Saccharomyces cerevisiae S288C: one gene and its partners. The protein of the gene in region 1 interacts with the protein of each later gene in a biochemical or structural test. Each region holds a gene or a part of one and is shown on either strand. Other genes may lie near its edges. The genes, in order: RTK1, MRX16 and YBL055C.

Region 1 (4,431 bases):
CATATTCGAGGGACTACTTAGAAAATATTTCCGATCGTCTTAATGACGAAAATAAAGGGCTGAACTTGAGCAGGAAAGATGCAGCGGCCTTGTTTTCTTGGTGTGCCTTCGAGTTGAACGCAAAAGGTTATAGTAACATTTGTGACATTTTCTCCGCGGCAGAGTTAATACATTATTCTTATGAGACTGATTTGACGAGCTTCTACCAAAATGGTCCCGGATACAAATTGATTAAATCTATAGGTGCTAATTTGTTCAATGCAACAGTGAAGCTAATACGACAAAGTGCGCACTTGGACCAAAAAGTTTGGCTGAGCTTTACGCACGATACTGATATTCTAAATTATTTGACAACTGCTGGATTGATTGATGACACTAGAAATTTAACAACCAATCATGTTCCCTTTCGTGATCATTCCTACCACAGGTCGTGGTACATTCCTCAGGGAGCTAGAGTCTACACAGAAAAGTTTCAATGCTCAAACGATTCGTACGTCCGTTATGTGGTCAACGATGCTGTGGTTCCTATAGAGAGTTGCTCCAGTGGTCCAGGTTTTTCATGTGAAGAGGGCACATTTTACGAGTATGCCAAAGACAGATTACGAGGTGTGAGCTTCTATGAAGATTGCGACGTCTCCAAAGTTAGCAAAGAAAAGGAATTGACGTTTTACTGGGATTGGAACACAACAAGGTATAACGCATCCTTAGTGAATCAATAAGCCATGCATGGGCAGAAATAAAAAAAAATAGGAAATTGTCTTTACATAACATGGTCACAAAGTAATATTCCGCATCGTTCTTCCTTCAGCAAACCGAAGGGGAGCGAATTGAGCCTTCAAGCTACATCTAAAAGAGATTCCACTAACAAGTTCTGCGGTTATTACATATTTTTGTACTACAGAGAATTTAATTGCACCCGCTTTATCACCCTCGTTATTTATATTCTTTTCTGGAATATTTAGATATGCGTCATTTGATTATTGTTGTTTTTTTTTTTTGTTTTTTTACTTTCATTACATCGCTAAATATAATATAAAAGAGATGAACGGCTATTCTTTCTGAATATCGAAAGTTAAAACTCGGATAGAAAATTCACAAGAACATAAAAGAAAACTTCCGGATTTCAAAGGCGGTTCTGGTATTGGGAAACTTCCACAACATATCTCAAATTCAAACTGAAAAGTCCTCAGTGTCTTTTATTCGAAACTCCGGGAAAGCACTGCTTGAATGGATTAAGTAAACTTGAAATAAATTTTTTACTTCTACAGCTAAAATGTGAAATATAGTGTCCGCTTCCACCAAAGGCGTTTATTTTCTCGAAATGAACCTGTGAATAACACAGCTGGCTCCAACTCAAACACTCAACTGCGTCATTTCTTATTCGCTTTCCAAATCATGCATGATTTTTCTTTCTCTTGCCTGCAGTGCTCGTTTCACCGCTCGCGTACTCGTCCATTCTTTGTCAGCGAAGAGGCTCTAACAGTGGAGAGCACATCTGGCAAGTAAAATGATAGGTTGCGCAAGGGGGTAGGGGAATGACTAATAAAGCATTACTACCATCATACCAAGTTCCCATTCATGTACACATAGTCTCTTTAATTGCCTTCTTGAATGGAGGCCAGTAGATATTTGGAGAAGCTTTTCTTGCAGTTCGGGTAATATCGAACGGCGTACATCTATAAGGGGAAAAGCTACTTCCGCTTCTCATATATCTATTTTGCAGTGTGACTCTTCCTGGCTTGCTAAGTATTGTACCTGTTATGGGGCAAGCAAGATTTCTCATTGAAAAAAGATATAATACTTATTTGCAGCCAATAGTGACGGATTCTAGTGTTCTTCTTTTCCATAAGTTGATTACGCTATTCACCCAAACTGACTCTTTAGTGCGCTAATAAGCTGAGAGGATTTGAGAGGGAAAAAAAGAGAGAAGGACAGAAAAGAGCAGCCTGAAATTCATAGCATAATGGTTAAGGAAACTCCATTACACTCATCTTCATCAACTTCGCTGTCTTCATTATTTAGGCCAACTAAGTTGAAGAATTTATCGGCTAAAATATTCAATGGAGGTGGTAACCAATCATACTCAAAGACAGATGATGTTTCAAGGTCTTCTTCTAGATCTTCAAAAAAGAATACAGATTCTGACCAAGAGGATCAAATAAAGTATAACAAACCCAACGACCGAAGATCTACCATAGGAAAGAGCCCCCAGGGAAATGGCGCGTTGTCAAAGGAGTCACACGTAGTAGCAAGTTCTACTTTGACAGGTATTTCTCCTACTTCAGCTAAAAAAGCTCCTATTGACTACTCTCCTTCACGGCCCTTACCTAACAATCATAATCCCGTTCGTACGGGACACACTGTGCCCCACTTACCCCATAGTATTCACAATCCAATAAACTACATTCATCAAGGCTCAAAAGATGCTTTCCACCATCCTCACCCCGTTCGCTCTACAGCTCATAGCAACATTTCTACAGTGTCTTCTGCAAAATCTGATACACCCTCTTCGAATTTATCATACCAGGCACATATGCATCCCGTAGAGATACTACAGAAACAGATTGAAGACAAACACTTCATGGACTCTCAAGCCTCCACCCCTGGGTCCGTGGAACTACAGCATAATTCTTCAAGCGGTAGTGATGATACCTCATCAAGAAAGAAAAAATCCTTGAGATTAACAAGATTTTTCAAAAAAATTCATAATGATTATCACGATAACCATCATCATCACCACCATCACAACCGTGGATCCACCCCTACAAAACCGAAGCTCAATTTGAACACCAATGAAAATATAGTAGAAAGTAACGGAAAAGCGTTATACGAAACAGATAACCCAGTGGAGCTATTAGAAAAATATGGTATTCCTGGTAGAAAATTAGGCGAAGGAGCTTCCGGTTCAGTGTCCGTAGTAGAAAGAACAGACGGCAAGTTATTTGCTTGCAAAATGTTCAGAAAACCACACTTAAACAATGAAGGAACTAATCAGTCTCAATTAGCTAATTATTCTAAGAAGGTTACCACTGAATTTTGTATTGGTTCCACGCTGCACCACGAAAATATCGTTGAAACCCTAGATATGTTGACTGAAGGTGACACCTATTTATTAGTAATGGAGTATGCGCCATATGATTTTTTTAATCTCGTCATGAGTAACCTAATGACACAAGATGAAGTCAACTGTTACTTCAAGCAGCTGTGCCACGGCGTTAATTACCTGCACTCTATGGGCTTAGCTCATAGGGATTTAAAATTGGACAATTGTGTCGTCACTAAAGATGGCATCTTGAAACTGATTGACTTTGGGAGCGCTGTAGTGTTCCAATACCCTTACGAAGATACCATTGTAAAATCACATGGAATCGTGGGTTCTGACCCTTATTTGGCTCCTGAGTTATTGAAACAAACATCCTACGATCCAAGAGTAGCAGATGTGTGGTCTATCGCTATTATATTTTACTGTATGGTCCTTAAAAGATTTCCTTGGAAGGCTCCAAAAAAGAGCTTCAACTCATTTAGGTTATTTACTGAGGAACCTGAGGACGAAGATGATATAGTTCGGGGGCCAAATAAAATATTAAGGCTACTGCCAAGACATTCACGGACAATAATAGGCAGAATGTTGGCTTTAGAACCAAAGCAAAGAGTTTTAATGAATGACGTGGTAAAGGATGATTGGCTTGTATCCGTCCCCTCCTGTGAAGTTGACCCTACATCTGGCGATTTGGTTGAAAAACCAAAGAATCATAAGCATCACTTGGTCACTGAGGAGGAGTTGAATGAGCTGACCAAGCAACACGGGAATAAAGATTCAAATTAATGAAATAAACACTTTTTAAAAGATAAAACCTAAAAAATTGTATATAGAAGATTCAAAGTACTATAAAAGGCATTATATAGGAATAAAAGATGGTGTGCATACAGGTGAAAAAGAAAACTAGTTAAATCTGGAAAAAAAAAACGCTCATATATATACAAAAACATAAATACATTCGTCAAAACAAAAAGCGCTTAAATAAATAAAAGCATTTTTTAGATAATCTCAACGGGCGCCAAATTGAAGTCACCCGACGCATAAAATTGTGAACACGCCCTATTAGATTTTACAAAGAGGAAGTCTCCTCCCCTATAAACTGCAAAGAATAATTGAAAAGTGATTTAGCGCAGATAAATAAGACCACCATAACCACATATGAGTAGGAAAAAATGTTCAAAGTTCCAGTGGGATTAGCCAGTAGGACAAGGGAGCTTATGAACAGCGTTACGCTCAATAGTCTCAATAATGGAAAGGGTTTCAATATGTACTTGCCAGGAATATTAAGGGCTTTTCCTAAACCAGTGCCTTCGGCGATTACATCTCCCGCAATTCCAAAATATCGAGGAGAAAGTTTCCAGTTTCGTAAGCTTTCATGCATTTCTTCTAAT
Region 2 (4,094 bases), 310 kb from region 1:
TTGAAGGAGACTTACTTTTTGTTTGTTTTTTTATTTTTATTTTTATTATATTTTTTTTTTTCATTTGTTGGGGTCAACTCACACTGGTTCTCCGCCATATTGCCTTTCTGTCAAGCATTGAAACGTGCAACATGAATATTTTTGGCAGCCATTTCAAAACAATAGCATGGTGCGAACTGCTCCAACATGAATAACCGTGCTTCGACGCGGTGTTTTCTCTTGCCGGACTGCCCATGCGTTTCAGTGCGGAGAAAGTCATCCGTTTTGAAGTGCTGCTACAACACGATCGCTCAAAAAGGAAGGAGTTTTCCTATTTCGAATTGATGGCTGGGTTTGAGCTGCAGGACACGCTGCAGTGGGGAAGCCCTTTTAAATCCGCGAGTCCGGTCCGTGCTCACTTTTAGACGCGTGTTCCATCGGCGTTCGGATGGTTTCCAGTGAGAAAAGGGGCTACGCGTATGGTCGGTAGTCCCTTTCAGGGACCAGTGCAGAGGGTGAATCAACGGCCCCTTCACAGAAACCGCGCAGGAATTTTTCTGGTGTTTGTTATTTTTTTTTCCTTGTACTTATCTCACTTTTCTTTTTCTAACTATTTTTTTTGCAATTTTTTTGTGTACACTTTCCACAACATATAGGATGGTTTAGTCATCTCTCGAAGTATATAAACCGTTGCTGGATCGTGGTTGTTCTTCATCGACTTCTCTCTGCTAGACTCTCTTTTTTAAAATTTTTTCATAGAATAAAAAACCAAGGATAACAAACATCTTCTTTCGTTCGCTTCAAAATAACTACAAATTAAAAATGCAATTCTCTACCGTCGCTTCTATCGCTGCTATTGCCGCTGTTGCCTCCGCCGCTTCTAACATTACCACTGCTACTGTCACAGAAGAATCTACCACTTTGGTCACTATCACTTCTTGTGAGGACCACGTTTGTTCTGAAACAGTTTCCCCAGCTTTGGTTTCCACTGCTACCGTCACCGTAAATGACGTTATCACTTAATACACCACCTGGTGTCCATTGCCAACCACTGAAGCACCAAAGAATACCACTTCTCCAGCTCCAACTGAAAAGCCAACCGAAAAGCCAACTGAAAAGCCAACCCAACAAGGTTCTAGCACTCAAACTGTTACCTCCTACACTGGTGCCGCTGTTAAGGCTTTGCCAGCTGCCGGTGCTTTGTTGGCTGGTGCTGCCGCTTTATTGTTGTAATTTACTCAACCTTTTCTTTAATATATTTTTAGAAAAATGGTTAAGTACTTTTCCGTCAATACAGCTTCCACAAAATCGTTTTATTTCAATTAATAAGATATTCTGGTAATTTCTTATTCTAATTCTAGGAGGCAACACTCCATAACTAAATGTTTATTATAATAATATTAATATAAAGTTAATATCTCTTAGGTTACACGCAACTAAACTTTTTTTATATATACTGGTTGCATTGTATTTTTATCATATATCTTAATATAGGTTGTTTAAGGTTCGTTAATTCAAAAATAATGTTTTTTTGTTTGCCCAGTCGGTTTACGCTAATCAAGAACATGGATTCAATATCTTACATAATAAGCGGACGATGAGTCTATCTCGGTTTCCTCTTTTCTGAAATATAATAGTTTTATATTAGTGATTCATTATTACGATCTGGCCGGCTTATCATTGCTTCTTTTACAAACGTATCCTTTTAAGATTTTATCCGGACCACTGAGCTGGCATTTTTCTTAGCTTGCTTTTGTCTTTGTTGCACGGGCGACTGAACTTCTTGGAAAATCATGTAAGCCGCAATTGCTTACTAAGTCAAAATTCTAATGGATTCTCCTCTCGAATAAAATTGAATAGTCTGAGCAGTGAAAAAAATGTATATCTTATGTGTGAATGTTATATACCATAATCTAACGAAAGATAGCGAATTAAAGACCGGTCTGTGGCACTCGTAAATATTACCAACAAAGAAAGTTCCCAATATAATCATATAGAAAATGTCAAATTCTCCAACAGTAGCAACTTTGTCACAAGAATATTTCGATCCGAATATTCCTCAAATACTCCCACACGAGAAAATGTATAAGATTCAGGTGGGGAAATCATTATTCAAAATCAGCGGTGCTTCTTTAAGCTCGGATGGTCCTAGTTTCTTCACCGAATATTTTTCTAAGAAGCGCTCTCCTTCCAATAACGATGACAGTAATAACGATACCATGGAATCTAATAAAAATGAGGTTCTATTCATAGACAGATCAGCCGAAGTTTTTGAATGGATCTATCAACATTTGCAAGGATATATAATTGAGATTAAGGATGAAGTACAATATACCATGCTTTTCGCAGATGCGATGTACTACAATTTACCGCGATTGCGATCTTTACTGAAAGAAACGGACTATTATTTTACCAACATTGGTGGACAATCATTCAAGATAGCGAAAAATTTATTTAGAAGAGAAGGAGATTCCCCAAATTATTTCGAAATATATGCGGCTACAGTTTATATCGATGTGGAAGAGCTGATAATATCTAAAAAACTATTAAGGCCTCCATCTCATTCTGCTCCTTACATTCCAAGATCTTCTGAGTACTTCAAAGATTTGCTGACGTTACTGGGAGGAGCATCCATCGATCTAGATGATAATAAAAGAAATGCCTTGATAAAAGAGTGCCGTTATTACAGGCTTTTAAATCTCGAACAGCGGCTAATCAAATCTCATATTAGCTATAACCCAATAACAAGGAAAGAAGAGATTTGCCTCCTATTGAAGGATTTGTCAAAAAAAGGCATCACTTTTCCAGCTTCTTCTGCATTTTCAACCTCGCCCTACTTTGAAGACGATTTCTGTAGCATAAATGAATGCGACTCGCTATCAAAAACCCGTGAACAGCCAGCAAATAAAAAGATTAAACTTGACATGACTGAAAAATATAACGATTCCTGGAATATGCTTTGTTATAAGAGACCTTTTTTAGATAAGCATCCGAGAGAGTTGATATTTCAAATAAATTCGACTGATTGTACGATAATCCTCAATAAGGAAAGCCAAAGTATCCATGTAGACATAACTGGAGAATCCGCCTATAAGTTTGAGGCCTTATTTGGAAGTCATTTGCCAAATACACCCTCTGGTGCGCCTAAGTTGAAAAATTACCAGTATCGGTTCCCATCCGATAGTACGCAGACGAAAATTGAAACTCATTATTTACTTCCAGCATGCATATATCTCTGTGATTTGGACATAAACGGCATTAAGATTTCTCAAGTTCAAACTTTGCTAACTGATAAAAATAAATTCAATGACAGGGTCATTGACGTGTCTGATCCACTTGACCTTAGATTTTGTTCTGGTTTAAAGCTTTACTTAAGAAAGTCTCTCTGGAAACTGGCCGTGAAAGATGGCAATATTATGCTGATAGCTATTAAAGCTATAGCATTTAACGGAACTAAGGAATACTACAAGGGATATGAATATCTGTAGGATTAGCTTGATAAAATTACTCTTCTGCCAAGCTTTTAAGTATATGTATGCTCTCCGTTGTATTTTTTATATGCCATTATAGTACTTGAAGTATAACGGAAACCCATTGTAACTCACATTCCTGTAGTAGCTTCTTTTCTTACTTTTTGTAGGCTCTTGTCTCTTTTCTCTTGTTATTTATCAGTTAATATGTAAGAAAAAAATCGACTTCGGGAATTAGGATACAGACACCTCTTAAAACCAGAGATAAAGTAACGTAGAGAAAATAGTAGGATAATGTGTGCAAAAAGAAGAAACTTTGGTGTCTTAAAATAGATAAAAATAACCCTACTGCCAATTTGAAAGGGCCCGAAAAATGTTTGATAAGTTACCTTATGAGATTTTTAAACAAATTGCCTGGAGAATTCCGCAGGAAGATAAAATTTCGTTAACATATGTATGCAAAAGATCCTATGAATCAATTATACCTTTCATCTACCAGAATTTATTTCTTAATGAAACCTATCACATCAATGGTGACTATGATAACTCATTTGGAACCTGTTATTGGTCTGTCCTAAACTTTCACTACATAGATGAAGATGATTCCAATACTAAAAACGACATGTCGAATAGAAGACTAGCTAA
Region 3 (3,504 bases), on another chromosome or scaffold:
ACACTTCTTATTTCCATGGTGCTTCTTTATCAGATATGTTGGCATCTTTAAGCAATGCGGCTGCAGGAGAAACAGAACCTAATGATGCTGATGATAACGATGATAACGACGGCGAAGAAAACGGCAAGAATGAAAATGCGAAGAAGGGTTCCAAGATTGAAGAAATTGAATAATAAATATTGTCGAACCGTACTTTGCAACGAAAGAGTAGTCAAACTTTGTTATCTTTATTTGTTATTCCTCTTCTGCCGATGGATTGTTTTTTACTGGATCATCTTTGCGGCCCATATTGAGGAGATGGTGAAATTCATAAAAATCATTACGAGAGAATGATAAATTGTAACAGAATTTATAAATCCTATTCATATAGATACATCTGTTTTTCCTTACTCTGTTTTTATTTTGTTGGTAACCTTTGAATCCTTTTTGATGAAAAAAATAGAAAAAAAAAAAAAAAAAAAATGAAAGCAATATCGACTGTATGTATATGCGCACCATAATTTTCCTATTAATAGTTTAAGCATAATTAGTGTACTTACTAAAAATAATGTAACTTTGCTCTTTGCACCAATAGATGTTACTCTCCAAATATCTTACAGGTCGTCTTCCACGTGGTATCTATCAAAGTAGCCAGATCCACGTCCTTGACTTCCGATACGACAATTGCTACTTGTTCCATATTACAAGGCTCATTACGGCCCTTGACCATGTAAAGTTCTTCTGCATTCAACTTGTCAGCGAGCTTATTTTTCTTAACGGACTTGAATGCAGGGTATTCGAAATCCCTAACCTCCTGGTATTTGGCTAAGTACTGGAAAGATGCATGCGTTCTTTTAATCTCACACCACGGAGCATCTGTCTCTAATAACAACCTTTCTGTTGGTATTTGCTTTACAACAGCTAGATTTTCCTCGGTTCTCAACGAGCAACCGTTTACTCCTATGAAGATGTTGGGTGATAAGTTCAGTAATTTCTGCAAATCTATCGCAGAACCAGTGAATGAATGGACCACTAGTTTTCTATCTGGATGAAATTTGTAAAACCCGCTAGACGACGATGCACCTAACTTTTGTAGCTGAAAGGTATCCCTCTCATCAGTGAACCCGGCAATAAATCTTTCCAATATTTGAACAAAATCGTCACATGCGCTTCTCATATGCAGAAACAATGGATAGCTGCTGAGTTTATCGTTCAAACAACTTATTTTCAGTTGCTCTTCAAAAAAAACCTTTTGCATCTCTTTAGAACTATAGTGAAATCTGTCGTAGTCCAACCCGATCTCACCAATTGACCTGAAACTTGTATCATGAGGTTTTGCTTGCTGATTCATCAAATCATAAAGCTCTTTCAGTTTACCCTGTGCAAAAGATGGATTACTAATAACTTTAGCATATAGAGACTCATTATATGCTTCATCCATGGAAGGGTTATCAATAGAAGCGCTAGCCTTGTCCCCTTGACTAGCATCCGCAAACTCGTTAACGCAACATGGGTGAACACCTATTGTGTGATACAGCTTTAACGGGCTAAGATCTTTGACGCTGCTTACCAACTCAATGGCACTTTGAGACTCCGCTATGGATGATCCTGTAACAAGGGCATTTTTCACGTGCCTCTGAGCAGCACGCTCTAATAATTTTACATAATCTGCTGGATGGTACTGCTTACCATTGTAAATACCGTGAAACATAGGATCTGTCAGATTCAATCCAATATCATAGTATTTCAGCGGAGAATCCGTGGCAGTTGATGTCATGCTATAATATTGTGTCAAAATTGGTTTCCAGAGCCTAGAACAACTTTTGTTCGAGGATTTCAATAAGATGCCCCACATATAACTATAACAGTACTGGCGCCTCAAAAAAATGCCTTGGCAGCGAAAGTGTCCACCTTTAGTTGTCCATTGCTACCAGGACATCACCACTGGGCCCTTCCAGCATGCTGGAAAGATTGTTCTTAGAAGAGTGCTGTTCTAAGTAACCCGGCGTTAGTAGGGGCTAAGCCTTCTAGAAGGCCGGAAAAGGCTCAGAAATGCCTGCAGTGCAAAGCTTTTCAGGAACGTTACTAGCGCAAGTCTTCTGGCTGCTGTTTAGCAACCTCTTTGCAGGTATTTCGCAGCGGGATTTCGCAGGTGTCTTGCCTAGCGTATCAACACTTAGTAGCAGTTAGGTTCTAAAGTTAAACTCCACTTCCGTTCTTCTTCGAGTTCCTTTTTGAGCGGTTTGGCCTATCTTGTCTCATCATCTTGTTAGTGTGCGACGTTATCTGTGGGTGAGAGAGGCTATTTTTGGTCCGGTGAAAAAAAAATTTTTTCTCTGCTGAGAGCTGAAATTTGAAAATTGAGATGAGATGCGATGCGATGAGATGCGAGACCAATGCGATGAGACACTTTTCTACTTCCTTACACAGAAGTCGTGTATAGTTTTTGTACGTTGATATTAATAAAGGCTTTTCATATCATTTTGTTTTCAGGTAAACAAATCTGGCAAATCTCCACTGCTTGAGTCATTAAAACTACTCACTCAAGAAGGCATATACACGACAGTGGGTAGAGAAAAGAATATATCACTGTTCTTATTGAAGTTCCCTCGCGATGACGTTGCCGAAACTCAGTAGCGTTTCTGTTTCATCAGGACATGTTAGTGCCAACTCACATGGTTTCTCAATACTAAGCAAACACCCTCACCCAAATAATCTTGTCCATTCCCACTCACTTTCTCACACAAATGCGAAGAGCCACCTGCCTATCAGTAGCACTAGCACTAAAGAGAACAGCACGAACAAGGAGGAGGCGGAATCACTCAAAAAAAACAACCCCTCTTCTTGGGACCCTAGTGATGATATCAAGCTCCGCCACCTGAAAGAGATCAAGAACTTGGGCTGGAAGGAGATTGCACATCATTTCCCAAATAGAACTCCTAACGCTTGTCAATTCAGATGGAGGAGACTGAAATCAGGCAACTTAAAGTCTAACAAGACCGCAGTTATTGACATCAATAAGCTATTCGGCGTGTATGCGACTGGTGATGCTACCCCATCCGCGGGTACTCCGTCTGCGGAAGAAGCCGTAAAAGAGGAAGCTGTTGAGGATGAAGATATTACTGCAGGTTCTAGTGCTATCGAGGATTCTCCACCGGATTTCAAGCCATTAGTTAAGCCTAAATACATGGACAGAAAACTGATAACTCAAAGATCTACATCAACATTTTCGGACCATGAGCCACAACACACGAAACCAAGGAAACTGTTTGTTAAGCCAAGGTCCTTCTCTCATTCTATAACAACCAACACGCCTAATGTAAAGACTGCTCAGCAGACAAATCTAAGCCTTTATAACACTACTTCAGCAAAGACAAATAAAGCTGTTAATTCCAATGATTATGAGAATATTGGTCTTGTGCCTAAAATTATTATCAGGTCTAGAAGGAACTCCTTTATTCCTTCAACTCAAATCCCTCATTCAACGACGAAGACTAGGAAAAACTCGCATTCCGTAATTTCTTC

The links.
Region 2: the proteins of RTK1 (region 1) and MRX16 form a complex in vitro, tested with the Saccharomyces cerevisiae proteins (one large-scale study listed by BioGRID).
Region 3: the proteins of RTK1 (region 1) and YBL055C form a complex in vitro, tested with the Saccharomyces cerevisiae proteins (one large-scale study listed by BioGRID).

What each region holds. Positions count from the first base shown.
Region 1 is NC_001136.10:404,739-409,169, reverse strand, and holds RTK1 (putative serine/threonine protein kinase RTK1), read left to right. Parts: upstream 1-1,963; coding exon 1,964-3,826; downstream 3,827-4,431. Other genes in the region: putative acid phosphatase DIA3, read left to right, coding at 1-719; MRX9 (Mrx9p), read left to right, coding at 4,213-4,431. UniProt on the Saccharomyces cerevisiae protein: Probable serine/threonine-protein kinase that may be involved in ribosome biogenesis.
Region 2 is NC_001136.10:718,189-722,282, reverse strand, and holds MRX16 (Mrx16p), read left to right. Parts: upstream 1-1,979; coding exon 1,980-3,467; downstream 3,468-4,094. Other genes in the region: YDR131C (uncharacterized protein), read left to right, coding at 3,823-4,094.
Region 3 is NC_001134.8:114,996-118,499, forward strand, and holds YBL055C (3'-5'-exodeoxyribonuclease), read right to left. Parts: upstream 1,835-3,504; coding exon 578-1,834; downstream 1-577. Other genes in the region: type 2C protein phosphatase PTC3, read left to right, coding at 1-173; TOD6 (Tod6p), read left to right, coding at 2,594-3,504. UniProt on the Saccharomyces cerevisiae protein: Has both endo- and exonuclease activities. Incises double-stranded DNA without obvious specificity via its endonuclease activity and excises the DNA from the 3'-to 5'-end by its exonuclease activity. May have a role in apoptosis.